Lepisosteus oculatus: one gene and its partner. The main gene of each other region encodes a partner of the protein of the gene in region 2 in a complex. Links are inferred from orthologs where the notes say so. Each region holds a gene or a part of one and is shown on either strand. Other genes may lie near its edges.

Evidence for each region. Proteins that work in one complex are often made in the same cells at the same time.
Region 1: the proteins of agk (region 2) and timm10 are in contact, whole or in part, in a cryo-EM structure (PDB 7CGP), measured with the Homo sapiens proteins. The link is inferred for Lepisosteus oculatus from reciprocal best matches to the Homo sapiens genes AGK and TIMM10. Residues at the interface, in NP_060708.1 of Homo sapiens: Phe49, Gly50, Asn51, Gln52, Leu53, Ile54, Pro55, Pro56, Val60, Ser91, Gly92, Met93, Asp94, Val95; in NP_036588.1 of Homo sapiens: Glu40, Glu42, Leu43, Ser44, Lys45, Gly46, Ser48, Arg53.

What each region holds. Positions count from the first base shown.
Region 1 is NC_090701.1:41,476,672-41,483,731, reverse strand, and holds timm10 (mitochondrial import inner membrane translocase subunit Tim10), read left to right. Parts: upstream 1-4,828; 5' UTR 4,829-4,957; coding exon 4,958-5,028; intron 5,029-5,890; coding exon 5,891-6,095; 3' UTR 6,096-6,509; downstream 6,510-7,060. Other genes in the region: uncharacterized protein, read left to right, coding at 1-2,272.
Region 2 is NC_090702.1:8,697,641-8,704,718, reverse strand, and holds the start of agk (acylglycerol kinase, mitochondrial), read right to left. Parts: upstream 3,021-7,078; 5' UTR 2,856-3,020; coding exon 2,746-2,855; intron 2,379-2,745; coding exon 2,339-2,378; intron 1,670-2,338; coding exon 1,590-1,669; intron 1,470-1,589; coding exon 1,394-1,469; intron 1,296-1,393; coding exon 1,203-1,295; intron 1-1,202. Other genes in the region: nuclear pore complex protein Nup205, read left to right, coding at 3,699-3,726, 6,453-6,595. UniProt on the Homo sapiens protein: Lipid kinase that can phosphorylate both monoacylglycerol and diacylglycerol to form lysophosphatidic acid (LPA) and phosphatidic acid (PA), respectively. Does not phosphorylate sphingosine. Phosphorylates ceramide.

The DNA of each region.
Region 1 (7,060 bases), on a different chromosome or scaffold from region 2:
TGATGTGCCGGGGCAAACCAGTACCAGTCCCAAACCTCGACAGCTGGAGCAGAGTGGCCGGGATGGCATCAGCGGACCTTCAGAATGGCACGGCTGTGAGGCGGAGGAGGCCGTTCCCGTGGGAATGGTGCCTGAGCCTCCTGCGGCAGCCCCTGTGTCCTCCGAGAGGCGGTGCCCGGAGGGAGAGCAGAAAACCAGCTCTGGAGGGGAGCTGGGACCAGTGTCGGAGAGAGACACAGCTGTCCAGGAAGTGCCGCCCAGTCGTTCCTTCATCCTAACCAGGAAGAGGTCCAGGGAGCTGGAAGAGCAGAGGCAGGAAGAAATGGAAAAGTTGAGAAGGTGCCACAGGAAGCGAAAGAGAGAGACGGAGCCTTCACAGACCCAGGTAAAATTAGAGAGAACGTGGAGAGGCCAACCGAGGAAGGGCGGTATGTACACGGCAGACCTGAAATCAGAGAAGAGGGATGCAGGGAAAGTCACAAGAGGGGATGTCAAAACCCATGGCCTGCAGGAGGAAAGGAGAGTCAAGGGGTGCATGGGAGGCAGAGCGTGGGACCCAGGCAGGCCCGTGAAGAGAAGGAGAGGAGTACCCTTGAAGAAGACTGGGAAGATCAGACCCAGCCGGGATGCTCCAGAGATGTCCACGACTCTGGAGGACATGGCCCAGGCCGAAACAAACCCGGAGCCTAGTGGTGGTGGAGAAAAGGCCAGAGATTCTCACTTAAATGCCGATGCTTGTCCAGACCTTTCATCCAGGGAGCAGGAGGGGCTGGAGGCGGTATCTGTACAAAAGCTAGTGCCTATAGAGAACAGAAAGAGCGCTCGGAGAGAAGGAATGCCAGGTTCCCAGGTGAGGAATGGCAAGGTTTGTAGTGGAGAAGTAGAAGGCCCCCCTCTGACCATGGATCTGTCAGCACGAGGGAGGGAGAGAAGCGAAGAAAAGGGTGGGGCACAGGGCGTCTCGAGGAAGTTGAGGACGAGGACGTCTGGGCAAGTGTTCAGTCCTGGGGCAGGTCTTCCAGTGAGATGGGATAGCAGGGCCGCACTGTGTGTGGGATGTGGTCCCAAGAGGAGAGGGCGGGATGCACGAGATGCCTATATCTTGAAGAGAACACCGAGCCATGCAGGAAGGAGAAGAAAGGATCAGCCTCAAATTAAAGACCAAAATAGCATTCCGAGTGCAATAGACAAGGTGGAGACAGGACAGGAAGCTGATCTGCAGCTTTCGAGAAGCGGTGTCAGCAGCCCACGGGAAAAGGGGGTGCGTGTGAAAAACCGTGCGTCTCCAGTTGTGTGTGGGAAGGGACTTGTGCCGCCTCTGGATCTCAAGGTCCGGAATGGAGGTGGGGCAGATCATGGCTCCGGTGTGACGGCCATAGAGACCGTGTCAGACACGGGGAGCGCGGCGCGCTCCAAACACATGGTGCTAGCCGCAGAGGATGGGGTGCAGGAAAACAGGGGACCTCCTGTTAGCAACTGCATTGCTAACAGGAGGGCGAGGAAGAAGGGGGTGGCGGAGCTGAACAAGGAGAGGGCCTGTGTCTGGGGCAAAGGACAGAGAGAGCAGGAGAAGAGTGAGGAGGAGCGCGATTCATCGGTTAGCAGTTTTGGAGGAAGTGACCCTGGACTTCAGGATATGCAGAGGAAACATCCCACCTGCGGAAACAGCACAGGAGAATCGGGTGTGTTTGGGAGAGGGTGGGGGGTGTCTGATACCTCTCTTGATGTCATGCACAGAGCAGGGCTGAGTCGGGAAGAAGGCAGTCAGGAGCCCCAAGGGAGGATTCAGCCAGGAAAGGAGGGAGAGCGAGGAGAGGAGAAGTATTTTGAAGAGAGCGATGATGAAAAGATGGAGACAGCAACAAGGATGGGTCTCGACACAGAAAGCAAGGTGGGGCCGACTGAGATAGCAAAGCAGGACAGAATCAGGACAGAGAGAAGGAAGAGAGAAGGGAGCCATGAGGTTGCGTGGAAGGCGAAGAGCAGGCCGAGTTTGTCCGAGAGCACCCTTCAGGTTTGGCCAACAGAACGGCTCCCTGCTCCCGCCCCCCTTCAGGACTTCCGGGCCACTGAGGGCTCAAGTGGCAGCTTGGACATCGAAGAAGAAGAAGAGGAAGTGGAGATCCTTGAGTGCTCCAGCCCAGCCCCCCTGCCGTGTCACTTCCTGCTGGCAGTGCTGAGGCAGAACTGTGACCTTGGATCCCGAGACCAGTCGGAGGAGGAGGAGGAGGAAGAGGAGGACAGGGAGCTGGAGATCGATGTGGTCGGGTAGGGAGGGATGGAGAACCTGCCTTTACCAGGTCCCTGGGCAGGTGAGTGAATGTCCGAGAGCTTTAGCCATGTGTTGTTGTGTTGTGTTATGTTATGTTGTGCTCTTAGTTCATGCACGCTCAATCTCGTTATAGTTGACGTAATGTTTCAAACAAGTTCTGTAGGTGTGCACAGCTTCAGCAGAACAAGGAATCGTGGGCAAATTTATTATAACACCTACCTATTTGTTGATTTTGCAATCAAGAAATTGATTTCCTACGTATTTTGTTAATTATTGCAGAGACATCCTGTTTAAAGCCAGATCAGCGCTGAGAACAGATCTGGCGTCTTGTATGAGAGTCTGGGGTTGTTTCCAGCACTATGAAGAAGAGTGTGATGTTTCACTGTTCTTGTGTTCCTTTTGGTTCTAGTGTTTGAAAAGAATTGTGTGGCAGAGGGAAATCCTCAAGAGAACCAGAAAATCATTTGTCCGTCTTTAGTTTTCCCAGGACGTTCAGCTCCAGCTGTTGGATTTAGTGTTTTGGACAGGCCCTTATGTTGTAAAGCGTGCTCTTTGGCAAGTCTGAATAAACTAACGTGGCTGTCAGATTCACGCCCCTTGCATGACGTTTTTGACGTGAACTGTGAGACGCGACTTTCAGCTACCCGCATGCTAGACTTCTCCCCGACTGGGACACTGCTGCTGGAACTGGGAGATGCAGCAGTAGGATGTAAGTGCCACTTGTGCCATATTGTCTCTTCGTGGGTTTTTGCCCTAGAGTGTCCGTTACATCCTTCAGTGGAACAGAGGGCCATGTCAGGGTAGCAGTGGATTTTCCTCTTGCCCAGTGTAACAGGCCTGCCCTGGACATGTGGAAAATACCTCTGTCAGCTCCAGCTTCTCCCCCACCCATGAAGCCTGTTCAGGAATCGCAGTGCTTGTGATCACCTTAAGTTAAAGATAACCTTCCCATAACCCCCATTAATGTGGCATTTAGAGATTTCCATACAAAGTGAACTAGATCAACAAGTAATATCGTCCCTCTCTCCTCACTTCTGGCTTGTGTTTTCAGTCTCCCTGCCCCCTCCTGCAGCTTTCTGTCTGCGTGGAGCTCTGTTGTTATTAGTGTGTGGATACACTAACTCTTGTGTTCCGAAGGAGGCAGGCTTCACAAGCAAAGTCTGTTGTCTTTATTTTTCTTAATAAAAACAATTGTTTATTTTCTTTAACCCACCTGATCTGGAGCATTCAGTCCTGTGTTTTCCACATCCCGGCGTTCAGCTTCAAACCCTGTTACCGCACACGGGGGAGACTGAGGAAGGAGGAGATCAGACTCCTCTGATTGGCCCGTCTTCCTGTCAGCATGTCACAGGGAGTGCCAACCCGTACGAGAGGATCAGCGCTGATTGGAGGAGAGGAGTCCTGCTCACTGCCGGCACTGCATGCCTGCAATCACTCAGGTGGTCACAAGAGAGCACTGTAATACCTGGAGAGCCTTGGCTGATCCATCCACAACACTCCTGAGACCACCAACAATACACCTGAGAGCCACAGCACACCTGAGACTGACAACACACCTGAGACCTTTCCACAACCCAATACACATCCACAGCACACCTGAGACATGTCTATAACACACCCAATACACATCCACAGCACACCTGAGACATGTCTATAACACACCCAATACACATCCACAGCACACCTGAGACATGCCTATAACACACCCCATACATGTACACAGCACACCTGAGACATGCCTATAACACACCCAATACACATCCACAGCACACCTGAGACATGTCTATAACACACCCCATACATGTACACAGCACACCTGAGACCTGTCTATAACACACCCAATACACATCCACAGCACACCTGAGACCCACAACAATACACCTCTGAGACCTGTCCACAGCACACCTGAGACTTGTTACACCTGTTTTGATACTACTGACCCTGAAAACCTGTTACCTGCCTCTGTACCTGCAGTCCACCAGTCTGTACATCTGTCAGGTCAGCATCTTTCCTTTTACAAAGTCAGTGTGGAGTGTAAAACAGGCATGCCACATAGACTAGTTTAAAATTAAAAATAAGGCCCCTGTGTTTTACTCCAGGCTACATTAAAAAAACATCTTTACACGTTGTAAAATTTCTCTTGCAAAGTTTAAAAAGTCACTGGTTTCAAAATCAAGTTGTAGAGACGTGCTGGCACTATTCCTTTAAACAATATGTACGATAAAGACTGTTTTAACTCTGAATTGGTCTTCTGACCAAACTTTCATCCTAACAGGAGTTAGAATTTCGATTGAATTAACGCAGGCCGTAATAAATATTCATTTCTACAAGTTCAGAGATTTCCACGGGGTGTCGTGAAGCGCTGCTTGTTAGGCTTGCTGAATTAGGGAATGGTATTCTCGTATATGGGCGGAGGTGTCCAATCTCGTATGGGACTACTTATTCATGTTGTGATATTCCTCCCAAACAGCAGTTCCTGGCGATCGCCACCAAGCGTCACCCGCTCCCGTAAGATGCACCCAAAGAGACCCTTAATGTGTCTATGGTGTTTTTCTTGGCGATGGCCCAGTGGTTGTTTTTGACAGCGGAAACAGGAAAGCGGTTCACTAGAGGGGATACATGTGCGTTTAGTGAAGGTGAAACGCAGCGGATGCCGGTGGTTGTAAACGATTCTGTCCCGAAGAGATGGACCCGATGAAAGCTCAGCAGCTCGCCGCAGAGCTGGAGGTGGAGATGATGGCCGACATGTACAACCGGTACAGTGATGTTTGTCGTGATATTATATCGAGAAATAAGCCTACCTGTGTGCGAGAGGGTCTGTTGTGTACATGCATGTTTCTTTTTCTGAAAACTGTCATTAAGACACCCAGCAAGAGCTGCTCTCGAGCTTCATGCGGAACAAGAACAAGACTGCGCTGTTAAAACAAGCTGTGCAGTTCGTTTTCCGCGAGAGCGTTTGCCTGAGTTTGGAGAAATATAGGCAAAAGGAGTCCTTTTTTTGTGTGGCTTCTGTTTTTCCACACGTAATGTTATTAATCTGGTCCTGACGCCACGCCAGTATTTGTAATCCCTTACACTTAAAGAGATCTGTAACAACCAGTTTTCTGCTAACGGCTCTCTGTGGGTACAAGTTTATTAACCCCTCTCTTTCTCTCTCAGTGCAGTGTTAATGTCCTGTAGTGTCCAGTCAGTGTGTCTGGACTGTATTAACCCCTCTCTCTCAGTGCAGTGTTAATGTCCTGTAGTGTCCAGTCAGTGTGTCTGGCCTGTATTAACCCCTCTCTCTCAGTGCAGTGTTAATGTCCTGTAGTGTCCAGTCAGTGTGTCTGTACTGTATGAACCCCTCTCTCTCAGTGCAGTGTTAATGTCCTGTAGTGTCCAGTCAGTGTGTCTGGACTGTATTAACCCCTCTCTCTCAGTGCAGTGTTAATGTCCTGTAGTGTCCAGTCAGTGTGTCTGTACTGTATTAACCCCTCTCTCTCAGTGCAGTGTTAATGTCCTGTAGTGTCCAGTCAGTGTGTCTGGACTGTATTAACCCCTCTCTCTCAGTGCAGTGTTAATGTCCTGTAGTGTCCAGTCAGTGTGTCTGGCCTGTATTAACCCCTCTCTCTCTGCCAGGATGACCAGTGCGTGTCACCGGAAGTGTGTCCCCCCCCACTACAAGGAAGCAGAGCTGTCCAAGGGCGAGGCGGTGTGTCTGGACCGCTGTGTGGCCAAGTACCTGGACGTCCACGAGAGGATGGGCCGCAAGCTGACCGAGCTGTCTGTGCAGGACGAAGAGCTGATGAAGAGGGTGCAGCAGGGAGCCCCAGCCACCGTGTAGCTGTGGGGAAGGACAGGGGGTCAGGGGGCCTGGTTTGTCAGTACAGTACACTTTACACTAGGGGACTGAACATTTCAGAACATTCATGTCTAAGAGAGCTGGGCTAATACGTTACAGTCTCTATCCGTATGCCTCTCTCTCACTGCAATGTTAGTGTGCTGTAGTTTCCAGTTTTTGTCTGTCTGTTCTGTATTAACCCCTCTCTGTGTCGGACTTAACGCCGCAGTTCCTCATGGTTTATAATAGGACTGAAGTTTGTGCAGTTTTCATGTTATTATGGAAGTTGATGCTGTATGGTGTTGGATGTTTTTTTCAACTTCTTGTTTGCATTTGTTAGTGTATCTGTGCTGCTTTGTCCCTGACTGGGACAGTTTGGTATTTTTTTTGGGTAAATAAAACCTTTATTAAATTGTTTCCTCTGCATGAGCACAGTGATTTGTTGTGTAGACAAGACCACAAGACATGGTTTCACACAAGAGAAGACCATTCAGTCTGTCCACCCATTTTGGTTGTTAGTAGTTCATTGATCTTAGGATCTCATGAGACTTGAAAGAAACCAGGGCGCCGGCTTCAACAGCATGGCTGGGTAGCTTGTTCCACGCTCCCACCACCCTTTGTGTAAAGAAGTCTCCTGTCCTGACCGGAAGATCTCATCCAGCTGTGTCTTGAGAGAAGCCAGGGTATCGGCTTCAACAGCATGACTGAGCAGCTTGTTCCAGACTCCCGGCACCCTTATGTTTAAAGACATTGCGCCTGTTTTTAGTTTTAAATATACTTCCTCTTAGTTTCCACTCCTGTCCTCTGTTTCACTGTTTGATTCCATTGAGAGGTTAATTACTCAGGTCCCCTTTTGTTCTTCTCTCTTCATGTGGAAGGAGACTCAGTTACTTCAGTCTACAGGTTTGTCTGTAGGTCTGAATTGAGTTTTGCTGGCTGGAGACTATTTGCCAGCGTATGTGTGATGA
Region 2 (7,078 bases):
TTTGTTAAATGCTCCTCTCTATTTAAATGTGCTAACTGTTAGCAGATGCGCAAGGTAGCTAAGAAATGACCAGAGAAGCCAACCTTTCAGACTCATAGGGAGTCACAGAATCCGAACAAACGTGAGAGACAAAAACAGAAAATGGACAAAGAGCCAGAAAAAGCTGCCGAGCAAAGCAGCATTGGAGCTGACAGTGGAAGCCAAACAGAGCCAAAGTGAACAATCTTTCTTCTGTTAGTATGAGTTTAATTTTCTGGAGAGGAAAATAAAGGGCTGTCATGTTATTTTTCACAATCATGTGCTGGCAGTTTTTTTATAATCAGCCTGTAACAGAGTTAAAATATTTTTTCAGACTCATCAAGACATCCCCGTTACTTATGAAGATCAGTGAAAGACCTTCTGTGCATTATTAAGATGTGACACATATGATATGTGATGTCTGAAACGATTATTTTTTACAAAATTGATCAAAACTCTTAAGACTCTATAGACAACATGAATAATTAAATTTGAAAGGGAAATGGGAAATGCATTTTAAAAATTGCATTGTCTAAGAAAGGGGTCAGTGTGCTTGTTGGCTCAGCATGGTTACATGCTGCAAGATGCATATTATAACATTTAATTCTTTATGTTGTTTTAGCTGAGTTGAACATAACTATTGCCACATGTAACCATGTTGAACAATGCAAAATTTTAGAACTCTTTCCTAAAACCGCCCTTTCAAATTCAATTCTTCATCTGACTTTATCAGACATGTTTTCAATGTCTAAAAGACACCTTCAAATGAGCTGTAGCTAACATATTCATCCTTTTGTAGACATACAGTATTTGGATGAGCTTGGAATATTTGCAGAATAAAAAATTAAGCACAGTCAAAAACATTTTTGCAAGCTTTAATACTTGGGGGGCGTGGGCTTGATTCAAGACTGGAAAGCCTTCTGGGTGGAGTCTACACATTTCAAATGTTGCAATCTAGAGATGCTCAGGTTTCCTTCTCCTGTCCAAATGAATGCTGGCCAGGTTAACTAGTGCCTCTAAAATGACCCTGTGTGCCTGCAATGGACAGGCATCCCATCCAGAAAGCAGCCTCTCCATGTGCCTCCTGATTTGCTCCCCTCCTACCAGGAATAAGTGACTTGATGGATAAGGAGCATCATCAGGTCCATCAGTAAATGCAAGTGATTAGAAACACTGTGCTGTACCTCCTGTAGTGTCCCATCTCCCCCTGCCACAATGAGGAGATCAGTATGTTCCATCAGGTCCATCAGCTTTTTTGCCTGGCCTTCATAGTCTGTCTGGGAGACCAAAGCAGCAGACGTGTTGACATGCCGAAACTCAGTGAGCTTTAGAAATGCAGAGACTTTTAATACGATGACCAGAAAAACCTACATACCTTTACAAGCGTAACCTCCATGCCACCCAAGTGCAGAATGGGGGCTGCATTTTTCTCAAACAGGCTGGTGGCTTTTCTGGAAAGGAAAAGTCCCAGATAGATGCTTAAAATGTCGTGCAGCTAACAAGCAAGGAATTGTAGTTCATACTTCTGCAAATGCATTCCGTAGTTTGGCATGATTGTCCCTTTATCTTACCCGCTGCAAGCTGCAGGGTTGAGAATCACAGTGGCTTTTTTCACTTGAACATGTGCAGGAATCCCCTGGTGACCATACTCCTAGAAATGAAAAACACAGCTTTGACATCAGTCTTGACAGTGCTAGTTATTTTTGAGGGGGGGGGGGAAGAAAACTGTACCTGGAATTTTTTTCATTGTTGCAAAAATAACTTAAAAATTGTGATGACCAAGATTATTTTGTATTATTATTCATTATTACATGTTTTCTTATATTTTTTGTTTCTTTTCACTAGTTCATCCAAATTGATTAATGCCATCTATTTATTTTCCCAAAACAATTAGTTAAAGCAAAACTAAAGATAAATTGCTTATGGCTTGAAAGAACTTAATAGTGAGTGTTGTATCCTTCTGTTCTTCATGTAATCTGCTCTTTTATTATATATTTTTTTAAAAGCAGATATAGTGATACAGTTCAACATCATTCATATCTACAGCAGCAAAAAGCAAATAAGCAGAAACCTAGTGTATTCTTTACCATGACACTTTTTCTTTTCTAGTGCCAATATGTAAGTACAGAACCCAAAACTTAATGTTTGTAGCTAGTCTTGTTGTTTCCATTAGACTAGTTGTATGCTTCTGCAGAGTAATATCCATACCTATTGTCTAGCTTTACAGGATGCTTCCCATAACCGTTACACGAAGCCAATCACAACTACATGCAACACACAAAAACAGAAATGTACACACAATACATACAGAATCTCTTACCCGGGCTTCCTGACAGGCTGCCCGCCGCAAAAGATTGTCGCTAGAAAGAACAGATTCAGAAATGAGGAAACCGGTACATTTTTTTTTACATTCTGCAGATGTTTTTAATACATCTGGGACTTCTTTTTACAAAAATGTTACATATGTGTTGCAAACAATGCTGTACATTAGCAGCACAATCATATTAACATTGTTTTAGATAAGTGCTTGGCAATTAACATACTAATTGTTCTAGGGTCGAATGTCACTGCACCCAGATATAACCGAGCTGAGCAAACAAGGACATTATGACCCCTACTTTGTTAAACAATACGAATTTTAAGACAAATTCTAAATATGCCCAGATTCCGATATATTATACACGTCTTTTGTATAACATGATAAATTATTGCACAGTAGCTATGTACCAGTGTTTTCCATAGAGCCAGTGTCCACCGTAGGATACCACACAGACCCCGAATACAGACTTCTTCCAGTGATTTCTCAAGGTCTGCAAGATTTTCAGCACCCGTGCCATGAGGAGGAAGTTAGTGACCTGTCACCAGACAACTCCGTCAACACCCTATCTAAATATAACACTATCAAGACATTAAAAACAAACAATTGCCCTTTCCCCACAGCTCACTCCGTTCTCACATGCAACCTCTAATAGTGCAGCAGCTAAAACAGTCCCCATGCGCCGGAAATATTTCTTTAGTTCCCACACTGTAGGCACGGTACACAAATCAGCGCTTATGGTTTTATGTCATGAAGACAACGAATACAAAATTGTTTTTTTTCGAAGTACAGTCTGTTTATTACATACAGTGAATTGAAAGCGTGTGGAATCTTTTTTTGTGTAATAAAATATCCATTAGTCTCACTATAAATGTCAGCACAGCTCTTCTGTCATTTATAGGGGACTTATTTATGTCCCCTATGTTTTAAACAAAAACAGACACGCATATAAACAATGTATATATATATAAACATATCTTCTTTCTAAAGCACACCAAAGCCTGAATAGGTTTTTGTTGTAAGACACGCATTATAAATCTACAGAATTGATAAAGCATTTTTTTATAGCCGGAGAAGACTACATTTCCCGATATAAAAAACGTGTTAATCTTTCTTCCGACATTCATACTGGACCCCGCCTGAACAGAAATTTAGAATGGCACTAGAAACGAGCAACAAATTATGTTTACTTGTAAAATATGCCTTTGATTCCCTGTGGAAAATTATTTCGTTGTCCACAAATGAAAACAAACACCAATGAAGACGAAATATTTTAACACTACAGCTTTAAGAATATAGCTTTTATATTTACTCAGGCATGCATGAGACACCCCTTGTCTATAGAGCCTGAGTTGACTCCAACATGGCTGCGCAGATGGCGGTAAATTCAGGTATATTCATTTTAAAATGTATATATGTATTAAATAATCATATTAAGGACATAAAGTAATAAAAACAGTCCGTAATAACGGTGCGTCTTAAATATATAACACACATTTTCGTATAACTGTTAAATATTTATAGAAAAAGCGACCAGTAATACCACCGGCAGCATTTCTTGTGTTGCATGGGCACACTAGTTCTTGTGATGAGCCATGCTATTGCAGAAGCGGTGTTAAAAGAAAGCTTAAGAATACAATCGAAGAACAAATGCATGCGCCCCACAGTCGTTCAAATAGGACATCTTTTCGTGTCGGGATAGGAAAGTAGCTAGATGTGATCGGGAGAAGTGCCTCTTTGCTGTTGACGGAAGTTTTGCGTTGAGCTATTTTGAAACGAATCTGAAACTAATCCTGCTGGTTGTGTGGTTGTGATTGATGATATTTATTTATGTTTTTGCATTGTACTTCACCTGATTTGTTAATGATTCATATAAAACAATAACAGAAACAACGCCAGTATTGTCAGTCGTAATTAAGAAAATTACGTAGCGTTATTCGCTTTATTTAGAGTTTTGCCAGTACTGAATGTGAAATTTAGAAAAGGTGCATTTTTTTATTTGGATAGATTAGGGTATTCTCTGAACAACTTGACGCATGGTTTTGCGTCAGTGAGAAATCACTGTAACGACATGAACTGGTCAGTGGAGATTGACAACGTACTGTATGTATTCTTAAGTAATGTATTGGGATGAATTTAGACACCTGCTGACAGTTCACTATAATGCCATTATTCTTGCACGGGACCGCTTGTCTTGATTGTGTACGATTCTTAAGAATTTGCATTTCTTTATTGTGCGATTTGAGGCTTGAATATAGAACCGCGTTGTTAGCACGCGAGGGGAATCATTTTTGTTGCAGTTAAATGTTTTGTTCCTTGTATTTTGTTAAATTAGTACTATTGATTATGTGTATGTACAGTAAACCCTCGGATTAACGGACTAACAAGAGGGGAAAAGGGGTGTCCTTAATTGACGAATGTCTGTCAGATCAATTATGACGTTTTTCTGTCCCAAGACACACATGTATGCATATAAACTGTACTATACGTTTTATCTGAATAGTTTGTCTTATTTTTGACATTTTTGATCCTAAATATACAAGCTCCATTTAATAAATCATACGTATACGTTATAATATTCGCTAAAGTTTACGAAAAACAGATAAGCAATTGACTTTACTCCTACAGAGCACCTTTGACGTTCCTGAATTTTAAAACTATGTAGTATTTGTTTTTAAATCCGGTAAATTGATGGTTTACTGTATACGCAAAATACACTTTAAATGTCTGTAGTATCTTTACTGAATGTCTGAATAAAAGAACGAGAGAGATGCACAGATATGTATACTTTGAGTACATTGTACGCACAGAAAGAAGACTGTCATGCTGCTCTGATGTTTTTAATCTTACAAAACGTAATTTCGGATGACGTTCTGAAGATTGTTCCATAAATATTTTTCTTATATTTTGCTCACATCACAAGGGAAAATTTCATAAAATATTTTTTATTCAGGGTGGTTTGCATTGCTGCCTCACAGTCCAGGGTGTATCCCTCCTTGCACCCGTTGCTTGCTGGGATAGGCTCCAGCTCCCCTGCGACCCTATATTGGAAAAAGACGTTAGAAAATGGATGGATATTTTGTTTCAAGGGAGATGGCGAAAAGTCTAAAATGATTAGGTGTTCTAATACTTCTATTACTTAATCAGAATTATGATCAAATAAGTGGGTGCTGCATTTCAGTTTTGCATAAAGTAATGGGACTCTGCATTATAGAAGGCAAAAAATTACTGTGTAATAAGCCTGCACATAATAGAAGATCAGGTGGTGAAGTGAGAAATCGCTTAATTTGAATGAAGTAAAAACTTTAGGTAATTGAGATTTTGCAAACCCAAGATTTTGCATAGACAGTATTTACCATATTTACCATACTGGGGTGTTGGTTTGTAAATTCAAACCAACAGCCCAGTTCCTTGTCTAGCTTTTGCTATCAGATAAATCAGGCTACAGGGTGGTAATATTAAGGTATGCAATGTGAATAAAAATACATTGAATATTGAGACCAATCTAAGTCACCTACAGCTGTAACAATATAAAGTCTACACACATGATACAGAAAAGACAGCTGTATCCCTAATTACAAATCACTGTTTTCAATTAACATTGAAAAAACAAGGAAATGTTTTTGAAGTTCAATCCTATCAGGGCAAGATGCATCTACTTCCTTCTCAGGTCACTTCTGATATTAAGACACTTGTTGTTTCAGTCTCGTACTGTCAGCTTAATTCACAAGCTGTTCTTCTGAAGTAAAAATGGAGAACGAAAATTAATTCACCTTTGACTTCCATACATAGTTAACCATATATTAATTTGAATAAAGCACATAGGATTAGCAAAGAATAGGTGATGCAGTGCAGATGAAAATGTTTGGAATGTGGCACAGCTTTTTTATTGTTAGGAATTAACCTTTAATTGTTAGGGGCACTAAATTAAAAATATTAAAAAGGCACCTGTTATTATTACAGTACAACGTACACAAGTACTGTCTTTTCGGTACTTTGTTTGTTTGAGGTGATGTCTAGGTTTTTTCTCCCAAAGAGAGAGGTGTTAGTTGCTGTACTTCCTGCTGATGGGGATGGGTTTTGCTTGGCCTGAGCTGACCTCCTCTGCCCCTTTTAGGAGCCAGTCTGTGGGGGCCGTTCAAAGAGTTCTGGGAGACAGTGGTCAGTGCCATCTGGAGGAGGCAACCAGAGGCCGTGCATCTCCTGGACCTGATGCTGAAGAAACACAAGCCCCACTTCATCTCACTCTTCAAGAACCCGGTAGGGTGTGAATTCTTGATATGTTTAACGTGTGGTCACAGCGGCGTTCACATGCTGAATGCCTTTAGACAATGTGTGGAGGCAATAAAGACGGCAAGCAAAATTTCAGGATGTCTCATTAAAAGTAGGTAGCTGCCTCAGCATGCGTAGGCTGCAAAGGAACAAGTTAGTGATTATTCCATGCTGAAAAGAGAAGAAAATAAATATGTTTCGGCTGTTGTTTCTTTTCTTCTCTTTTCAGCATGGAACGAACCTTTACTTTGTTCCAATGCACTGTTATGAACGTCTTTAGACTTTTGGGCGAAAATGTGGTAACCATCTTGCAGATAAGATGTTGCTTCTTGAAGATCTAAATACAGAGCCCTTTTGACTCTTCAGTGACATTGACAAAGGAAGTTTTAACTATCTAACATATTTTCTGCATTCTGTCTTTGATAAGCTATAAAATCTTGTAACATATTGGAGTACTCCAAAAGGATGTTA